Rattus norvegicus: one gene and its partner. The protein of the gene in region 2 interacts with the protein of the main gene of each other region in a pairwise test. Links are inferred from orthologs where the notes say so. Each region holds a gene or a part of one and is shown on either strand. Other genes may lie near its edges.

Region 1 (3,516 bases), on a different chromosome or scaffold from region 2:
GTGCCAGACCCGGTTTACTCTTCTGTTAGTAAAGATTTACCTTCTGAATCCTCCCTCATGCACAAAGCTATTTCAGGTGGTCTGAATGAGCTGATTTCCACACAGCTCCCAACCATTAAGCTTTCACCACAGACCTTCAAGTTATCCAAAATATTTTGCACTCACTCATGTTCTAGACCAGATATAATCAGCTGCTACAATGTGGCAGAAATACATTCAAACTCAGCTCACTCCAGTGTACTGGAGCCCAGAGTCCATGAGGCGGGGAGCAGGAGAGGCTGCAAAGACAAGCTGAAGCCCCACCACGGTCTAGAAAGACAGTCTGAGAGTTCAAACTCTGCCAGCCATTGAAGGAAAACTAGAAAAGCCTTTGCTTTAGAAAATATAAGCAGGGCGGGAAGCTGGCAAATGACTTTGGAAACTAATACAGTTATAATGTAAGTGACAAAAGAGGCCCCACTAAGGTACTGCCAATGAGAATAAAGGTTTATACTCTCAGAAGGTGAAATCCACATCATCCCATAACTATTGAGACTTGAAAAGAGAGACAAAAATCCAACCGGGTGCAGCTTGCTTAGCATGTGGAAGACCCAGAGTTCAATACACAGCACTTCAAATTAAATAGATTGGGGGTGAGAGGAGTCAGAGACAGGAAGAGACACAGAGACAGAACAGATCATCTAAGGTAGATACCATTTTGGCAGAGAGAATTGTTTCAGTTAGAATCTGAGAAAATGGTGAGGTGCGGGGCGTCAAGGAGAGAACGAGAGTTGGAGGAAGAGAATAAATTCTGTTTTCTTAGGACATGGTGGAATTCATAACCCTAGAACATATCTCAGATAGTGAATGTCATGAGATCTTCAGAAAATAAAATGAGTCTATACATGTTGGGTTAGGTATTGAGGGACCATTCCATCAGACACAGCAGGAACCAAAGGTACCCATTAGCACCCAGACAGTCCCATGACATCCCTCAAACCATCTCACTTCCAAAATAACAAATCTTGGTGTGAAATAAAGCATAGTTTGGTGAGAAGGTGTTGTTGTTGTTGTTGGTGGTGGTGGTGTTGTTGTTGTTGGTGTTGTTACTGAGACAGTCTTGATTCAAGGAAGGCCTTGAACTTTTTCTTCTTTATTTTTCTTTAATGTGCATGTATGTATGTATGTATGTATGTATGTATGTATGTATGTATGTATGTATTTTGCCTGCCTGAGCACCTGATACATGCAATGCCTGCAGAAGCCAGAAGAGAGAACTTAATTCCCTAGACCTGAGTTACACACAGGTGTGAGTTGCTGTGTGGGTGCTGGGAATCAAACCCAGGTCCTCTGAAAAAATAACCCATGCTGTTCACCACTGAAGCCATCTCTACAACCCCAAGACATTGAACTCTTGATTCTTCTACCCCAGCACTAGGATTAAAGAATGAGCTACTATGCCAGAGGGAAATACTTACGTTTGATGACTGACAGTGAACACCACTGAACTTTCTTCCAGCGACTACAGACTAGCCACAAATTGACTCTCTTCACCAACTCTGCTAAGTGATCAGGATCAGACTTCATAATCTGATCAAATTCTGCAAACTAAGAGTAAGATAACTTAGCATCAGCATTAAAGGGTAAATGTGCTCAAGTAGAGAGGAAATAACTACATGGATTTCAAATTCCAAATATAACTTCCTGAAAATGATTAAAATTCAACTCCAAGGATATCTTAGCAGGGTATACAGAACACATTTGGCCACTTGTCATGGCCCTTTCCTTCTGCCTTTCCTTCATCGATTTATTGGAAGGTAGGAAGGAATACTTATTTATCCCTAAGTAGCAGCAAAAATAGGTATAAGAAAAACTCTTAAATGACTGATTATGGAAAATTTGGCAGAAATATTTGAGGGAAAATGTTAAATGGGGCCAACACGTCTGAACCAGTTCAACCACATTCTCAGACATCCACATTGCTCAACAAGTAAAGGTCATTGAAAGCAGGGGAGCCACCAAAAGTCCTGTCTCTCCCAACTCTAATTTTAGACAAAAAAAATAGGAAATTACTGCTAGGAGACAGACCACGCAAATACAATACTTTTTCTATTTACCACAAAATTCCAGAATTATTTCCATTCTTCACCAAATATCACACTGCAGTGTTAAAGGTGTCATATGCCAATTAACAAAACAAGTGTTTAATCATAAAAACCGTAAGAGTAGCATAACAAGACTATGAATCTCTGAATCTGCTTGCTTTAAGCTTTCAACAACCTTCTGCATCTTTCTGGAGGAAAATAATCCAGGTTCTTTCTCTATCCATTAATTAGTTACTATAGCTCTGACACAAGAGAGATGTTGAATTTATGATAAATAACACAAAGTAATGTGAAGCCAGCCATGAACACCTATATTTTTTTCTCTTCATTTTTCACAGGAAATGGTACAAGTTCTGTGACAAAGACACCACAGACTAGCAATAAAATTGCATATTTTCATCCTGTGCTAAAAAATGTGAAATTAGATTTATTGTAACTATTTTGTTCTTGAGACACTAGAGAGAGTTGACCAGTGGAACTAGTGAGCTGCAATAACAACTATCTTTACAATTGTAACTATGTAATCAGTAAGTCAGTGTCTCAAGTGTTAGGAATATGGACGTGGTATTCTTAACATTTGTGGACAGCCCTAGGTGTTTGTGTACTGAATACAGTTAGCTCTGACATGCTCTGCAGTCAGTGAGTATCACAACTGCAGTACTATGTCAGCTTAAAAGCAACCTAACGCATGCAGTGTTTACACATTCCCTTACTGTGAAACTTGTCAATAGTCAGTACAAATCCAATCGAGTTTCATATGCTTTATGTATCTATCATACTCCAGTGAAACTTTCTCACAAGGAAAACTCCAACATGCTATGAAACTCACCAAGCGAGCTGGCACATGCTTACAGCATTGAGGAGTCTGGGCCAACTCAGATGGAGAATTCTGTGACAGCTTGGGTTACATGCTGAGCTATCTAACTGGCACATTATTAAAATATTATAGAAATAGTTTCAACTTATTTAAAATGTTAGAAAGTTTTGGTTAGTCCTTATTTAAGAAAAAAATTAACAATCCTCTGATTCCAATACTGAGTAAAACTATAATTTAAACTCATACGAAACAACCCCGAACAGGAAACCTGTGTGAACAGAAACATAATCTCATGCTGTTTCATATAATGCTGTAGTGATATAAATCGCCAATAACTAAGGAAATACATATGAAGCCCAACTGTCATATATATTTACCTTGCCAGGTCTGAAAAATACTTTTGTCAGCCCAAACTTGTAGTCAACTTCATTTAATCCCAAAGCTTTAAAAAGAGCCTGAAAAACAAGTTTTAAAAGTTGAGTTTAACAGAAAAGATTTGTTGGTGAGAAATTTCTATTGAAGTGGCATTTATACCTTACAAAATAGCCGTGGATCCAATCGTGCGAGTTTTTCTGGCATGTACTTCTTGTACATGTTATAGAGTTCATGAAATGA
Region 2 (4,030 bases):
CCAGTCCCTCAGTTGTTTTCATTCACGGATTGGACTACCAGAGTCAGCAAAGGTAGCTTCGGAGCTGTGTTAACTGTCAAGCACTTTCTCTTGTTTCTTTTGTGTGTGCATGGATGCGTGTGTTGTGTTTGCGGCATGTGATTTGTACATGTGTGTGCATTTTCTCCACCCCCACTCCTGGGTGTGTGTTTGTAGGCCAGAAAAGCCAGAAGAATTTTTTCCTCAGGGTCAGGGTCCACTTTTTTTTTTTTTTTTTTTTTTTGGAGGCAGGGTCTCTTATTTGCCTGAAACTTGCCTAGCAAGTTTGTCTAGCTTGTCAGCAAACCCTAAGGACCCATCTTTTTCTGTCCCCTCAGCAAGCGTTTTTTTCTTTATGTGGGGTTCTGGGGATCGAATCCAGGTCCTCATGCTTACAAGGCAAGCAATCTCCTCAGCCTTCTCCATTGTGTTTGAAACATCTTCTACCCCACCTGGAAGCCTCTCCCTCCTCACACTCACCACCAACACCCAGCCCAGGTCCTATAGAGGACACCTATTTCACGATAAGCCCAGCAGGAGATCCAAGGTGACTCAGACAGGGTTGCTGTCCTCAACTGGTTTACAGTCACAGGAGCAATAAAACATGGGCTGGGGTGGAGTCGTAGATGCTTATTTATTTGTGGGATTGGGTAGAAGCCATCGATGAAGTCATATTCCAGGTGTGTCTTGATGAACGAAAAGAAGAGCGTCTGCCAGGTGAACAAGAGGGGGCAGGAAGGGCTGTCTTGGCAGAAGGGCCAGTTTGAGCTCACTGCTACGTCAGCGAGTGAAGTCATTAACACTCTGTGCTTGATCAATTGAAAATTTAAAAAGTTCAAAGTTCCTCAGAAGCTGATCTGAGGGTAAACCTAAGGTGAAGAGGCTAAGGAAGTTCTGAGAAGTAAAAATGAAGAAGGTAAAACCAGGGATAAAATATCGAGAACCATGTTGGTAAAAATAAGAAAAGAAAAATAAAAAGAAGGAAAAATAAAGTCCCAGATTGAATTATGTGGGTTATCATGGTCTTCTTTATATCTTCCTAAAATAATTCTCGGTGTTACCTGCTGCCCACGCCTCATTCCTCCGTCTGCAGGGGGCGCACCGAAATCCATCTTGCCTCCTATGGCTGAGGGGGTGGGGCTTCAGGAGTCAATATGGATTGACGATTGGCTGATCCAGGTGTCGGTCACGGCATCCCGCCTCCGCTCTACGTCACATGACGCAGCCCATCATGGCGGCGGGAGCGCGGCTGCCTGGGCCCGCGGCTCCGCAGGCTGGGTGCCGTTGCTGCTGTTGAGGGGCGGCGGCGGCGCAGACGGGCGGGAAGGATGATGCTGGCTCTGTGGCCAGAGCGGCGGATGCAGACCGGGAACAGGGTTGACGTTTGGCTAACGAGACGTGTGTCCCGAAGCAGCCGGCGCCGGTGTCGCTGAGGCGGCGCGGAGGGCTGACTGACTGAAGGCGGCAACCCGAGAGCCGGCCCCGGCAGGGGACCGCGCGGTGGACGAAATGCCGGGACCACCGGCATCATCGCCGCTGCCGATGCCGCTGCTGCTGCTTCTGCTCTTGACCGTCGGCAGTGCCCGGGCCGCGCCACTTCCGCAAACAGGTGCAGGTGAGCGGAGCCCGGGTGCTGCGGGGCCGCTGCGTCTTGCGGGGCGGCGGCGAGGTCGGCGGGCCTGCGGGGTTGGGCCACCTCTGCGACGGATCGGAGGCCTGCGGAGGGCAGGAGGCCGCGGGGTGCGAGCGATCCTAGGGAGATTTCTTGCCGCAGGGGCGTGGGATGGGGGGGCGGGGGCGCGGCGACGCGGTGGGGGTTGGGGAAGACGGCGGGGCGAGGTGGCAGAGACGGGTTTCCCTACATCCCTGGGGGACTCTTCCCGGACTCTAAACTTGTTGCCTAAAGGTCCCTCCAGCTTCTGTCCTCTCGACACTTCTTCCTTTTTTCCAGATGTCACCTGCCTCTTGTGGCTTTTCTCGCGTCCTATAATAAGAACCGTTTCTTATCTCTCGTCATTCCTTAAATGAAACACAATGACTCCTGGAAGCTGTGCAGTTTCCTTGGCTCACCGAAACTTGTTCTAAATTTGTAAATTGATTTTAGATGCTGAGGTTGTTGGGTTATTTGTCTATTTGTCTGTTCATTTATTTTTCGAAATGAGTCTCTGGGGATGAGAAAGGAGCAAAGGATGCGTATCTTTGTTTTGGGAAGCTAGTGACTGGTGTAGCAACTTTTGAGTAACCATTGACAGATTGGCCTGAGGGTAATTGAATTGCCTATTTAAGTGATATTAGTGAGTGATTCTCTTTTCAAGCCCTCAGCCCTTCTATATTTTCTGCATGTAGTTGTGATCTGGAGTTTATAAATAAAACTTCAGCCAAAGAAACCATCCCAGAAATTTTAAGGATTAAAAATTCAGTGGTGGGGGAGGTATTGACATTTCAAAGAACTTTAGAGGTTGGAAGAAACCGTATAGATGATTTAGTCCAATTTCTTCATCTTTTGCATTGAGGATGCTGGAACCCTGGTGATCAAAAGATATACTCAAGGTGACACAGCCAAGTTGTAGTTAGATGCAAACCCAGGTCTTGGATTCACCTTGTCTTGTGATTGCACCCCTACCTCCCAGTTCACTTCAGCTCTCAACTGTCTGTGGAATGCCCCTGAGGCCAAGGTTTAAGTGTAGAACTGTCTCCAGTCAATATGGGTGTTTCAAACAAATCTACAATGATAGAGGGTGATGGCTTCCAGAACTACACATATACATATACAGGGTATATGCCATTGAGTACCATTCAGTTGAGCATTAGGTGGTGTGGTTACACTATCTAATGTAGCACCGTCTTTGTGCTATCCCCTTGGAATCAAGTCTTTTTTGGTGACTTCAGTGTTCTGAGTCAATGGATAAGATAACTGGATGTCGGCAGAAGTCGATAGTCAGCCCAGATAGCCTGGCAGAAAATACCAGGGAAGCTGGGAAAGATTATACAGAAAGGAGGTGATGTTGCTATGTAAGGGTATTGACATTTAAATGGAAAATTAACTCCAGAGTAGCAGTGGGTAGAGTGCGTGTGACCTGGGGACTCCAGAAACTTCCAGAAGTTCTTGTGCCTATCAGTTTTTATGCATTCTGAGCAACCTGAAAAACATAAACCCACGAGTTCTTGACATAAGGTTTTGACACACGGGAAGGCCAGGTGATTTGTATCCACTTTTGCACATTTTTCTTTCCTGTTTTGGTCCTTAGAGGGAGCTGTATAGACTGTATAAATGATGTATTATTAAATGTCAAACATAGATGTGTGGAATTGTTTCATTGTCCAAACAGCTTATGGATATTACAACTGGGAGAGATTTCTCCCCCCTCCCTCTCCCACTCCCTTTCTCTCCTCTCTCTTCCCCTCTGCCTTTCCTGTACTATGGATCGAACACAGGGTCTCACACATGCCCAGCGTTCAACCATGGAGATAGATTTTTTTTTTTTTGGATCAAGGGTAAAGAAACTTTCTTGTTAATGGTATTTATTGAGCCCACTGGATATATATGTTAGATAAAAGAGCAGCTGTGCAGTGAAAACATAGCTGGGGTGTCTGATGATCTAGAGACCTGTACAAAGCAAGACTAGCCTTCCCAAATAAGGGTAGGCCCCCTTTGTGGGCTGGTTTTGTGTCAACTCAACAGAGTCGCCAAAGAGGAAGGAGCCTCAGTGGAGGAAATGCTTCCATGAGATCCAGCTCTAAGGCATTTTCTTAATTAGTGATCAGTTGGTGCCATTCCTGAGCTGTATAAGAAAGCTGAGCAAGCCAGGGGAAGCAGGCCAGTAAGCAGCACCCTCCATGGCCTCTGCATCAGCCCTTGTCCTGGGGATCCTGCTCTGTGTGAGTTCCTGCCCTGACTTTCTTCAGTGATGAACAGAGCACTGTGGAAGTGTAAGTCGAAGAAACCCTTTCCTCCCCAACTTGCTTTTTGGCCATGGTGTTTTGTTTCAGCAATAGTACCTAAGACAGCCTC

What was found. The genes of interacting proteins can lie anywhere in the genome.
Region 1: the proteins of Lmtk2 (region 2) and Myo6 interact in a two-hybrid assay, tested with the Homo sapiens proteins (2 studies listed by BioGRID). The link is inferred for Rattus norvegicus from reciprocal best matches to the Homo sapiens genes LMTK2 and MYO6.

The regions. Positions count from the first base shown.
Region 1 is NC_086026.1:90,089,385-90,092,900, reverse strand, and holds part of Myo6 (myosin VI), read right to left. Parts: coding exon 3,436-3,516; intron 3,357-3,435; coding exon 3,279-3,356; intron 1,588-3,278; coding exon 1,458-1,587; intron 1-1,457. UniProt on the Homo sapiens protein: Myosins are actin-based motor molecules with ATPase activity. Unconventional myosins serve in intracellular movements. Myosin 6 is a reverse-direction motor protein that moves towards the minus-end of actin filaments.
Region 2 is NC_086030.1:15,619,592-15,623,621, reverse strand, and holds the start of Lmtk2 (serine/threonine-protein kinase LMTK2 precursor), read left to right. Parts: upstream 1-1,229; 5' UTR 1,230-1,527; coding exon 1,528-1,633; intron 1,634-4,030. UniProt on the Homo sapiens protein: Phosphorylates PPP1C, phosphorylase b and CFTR.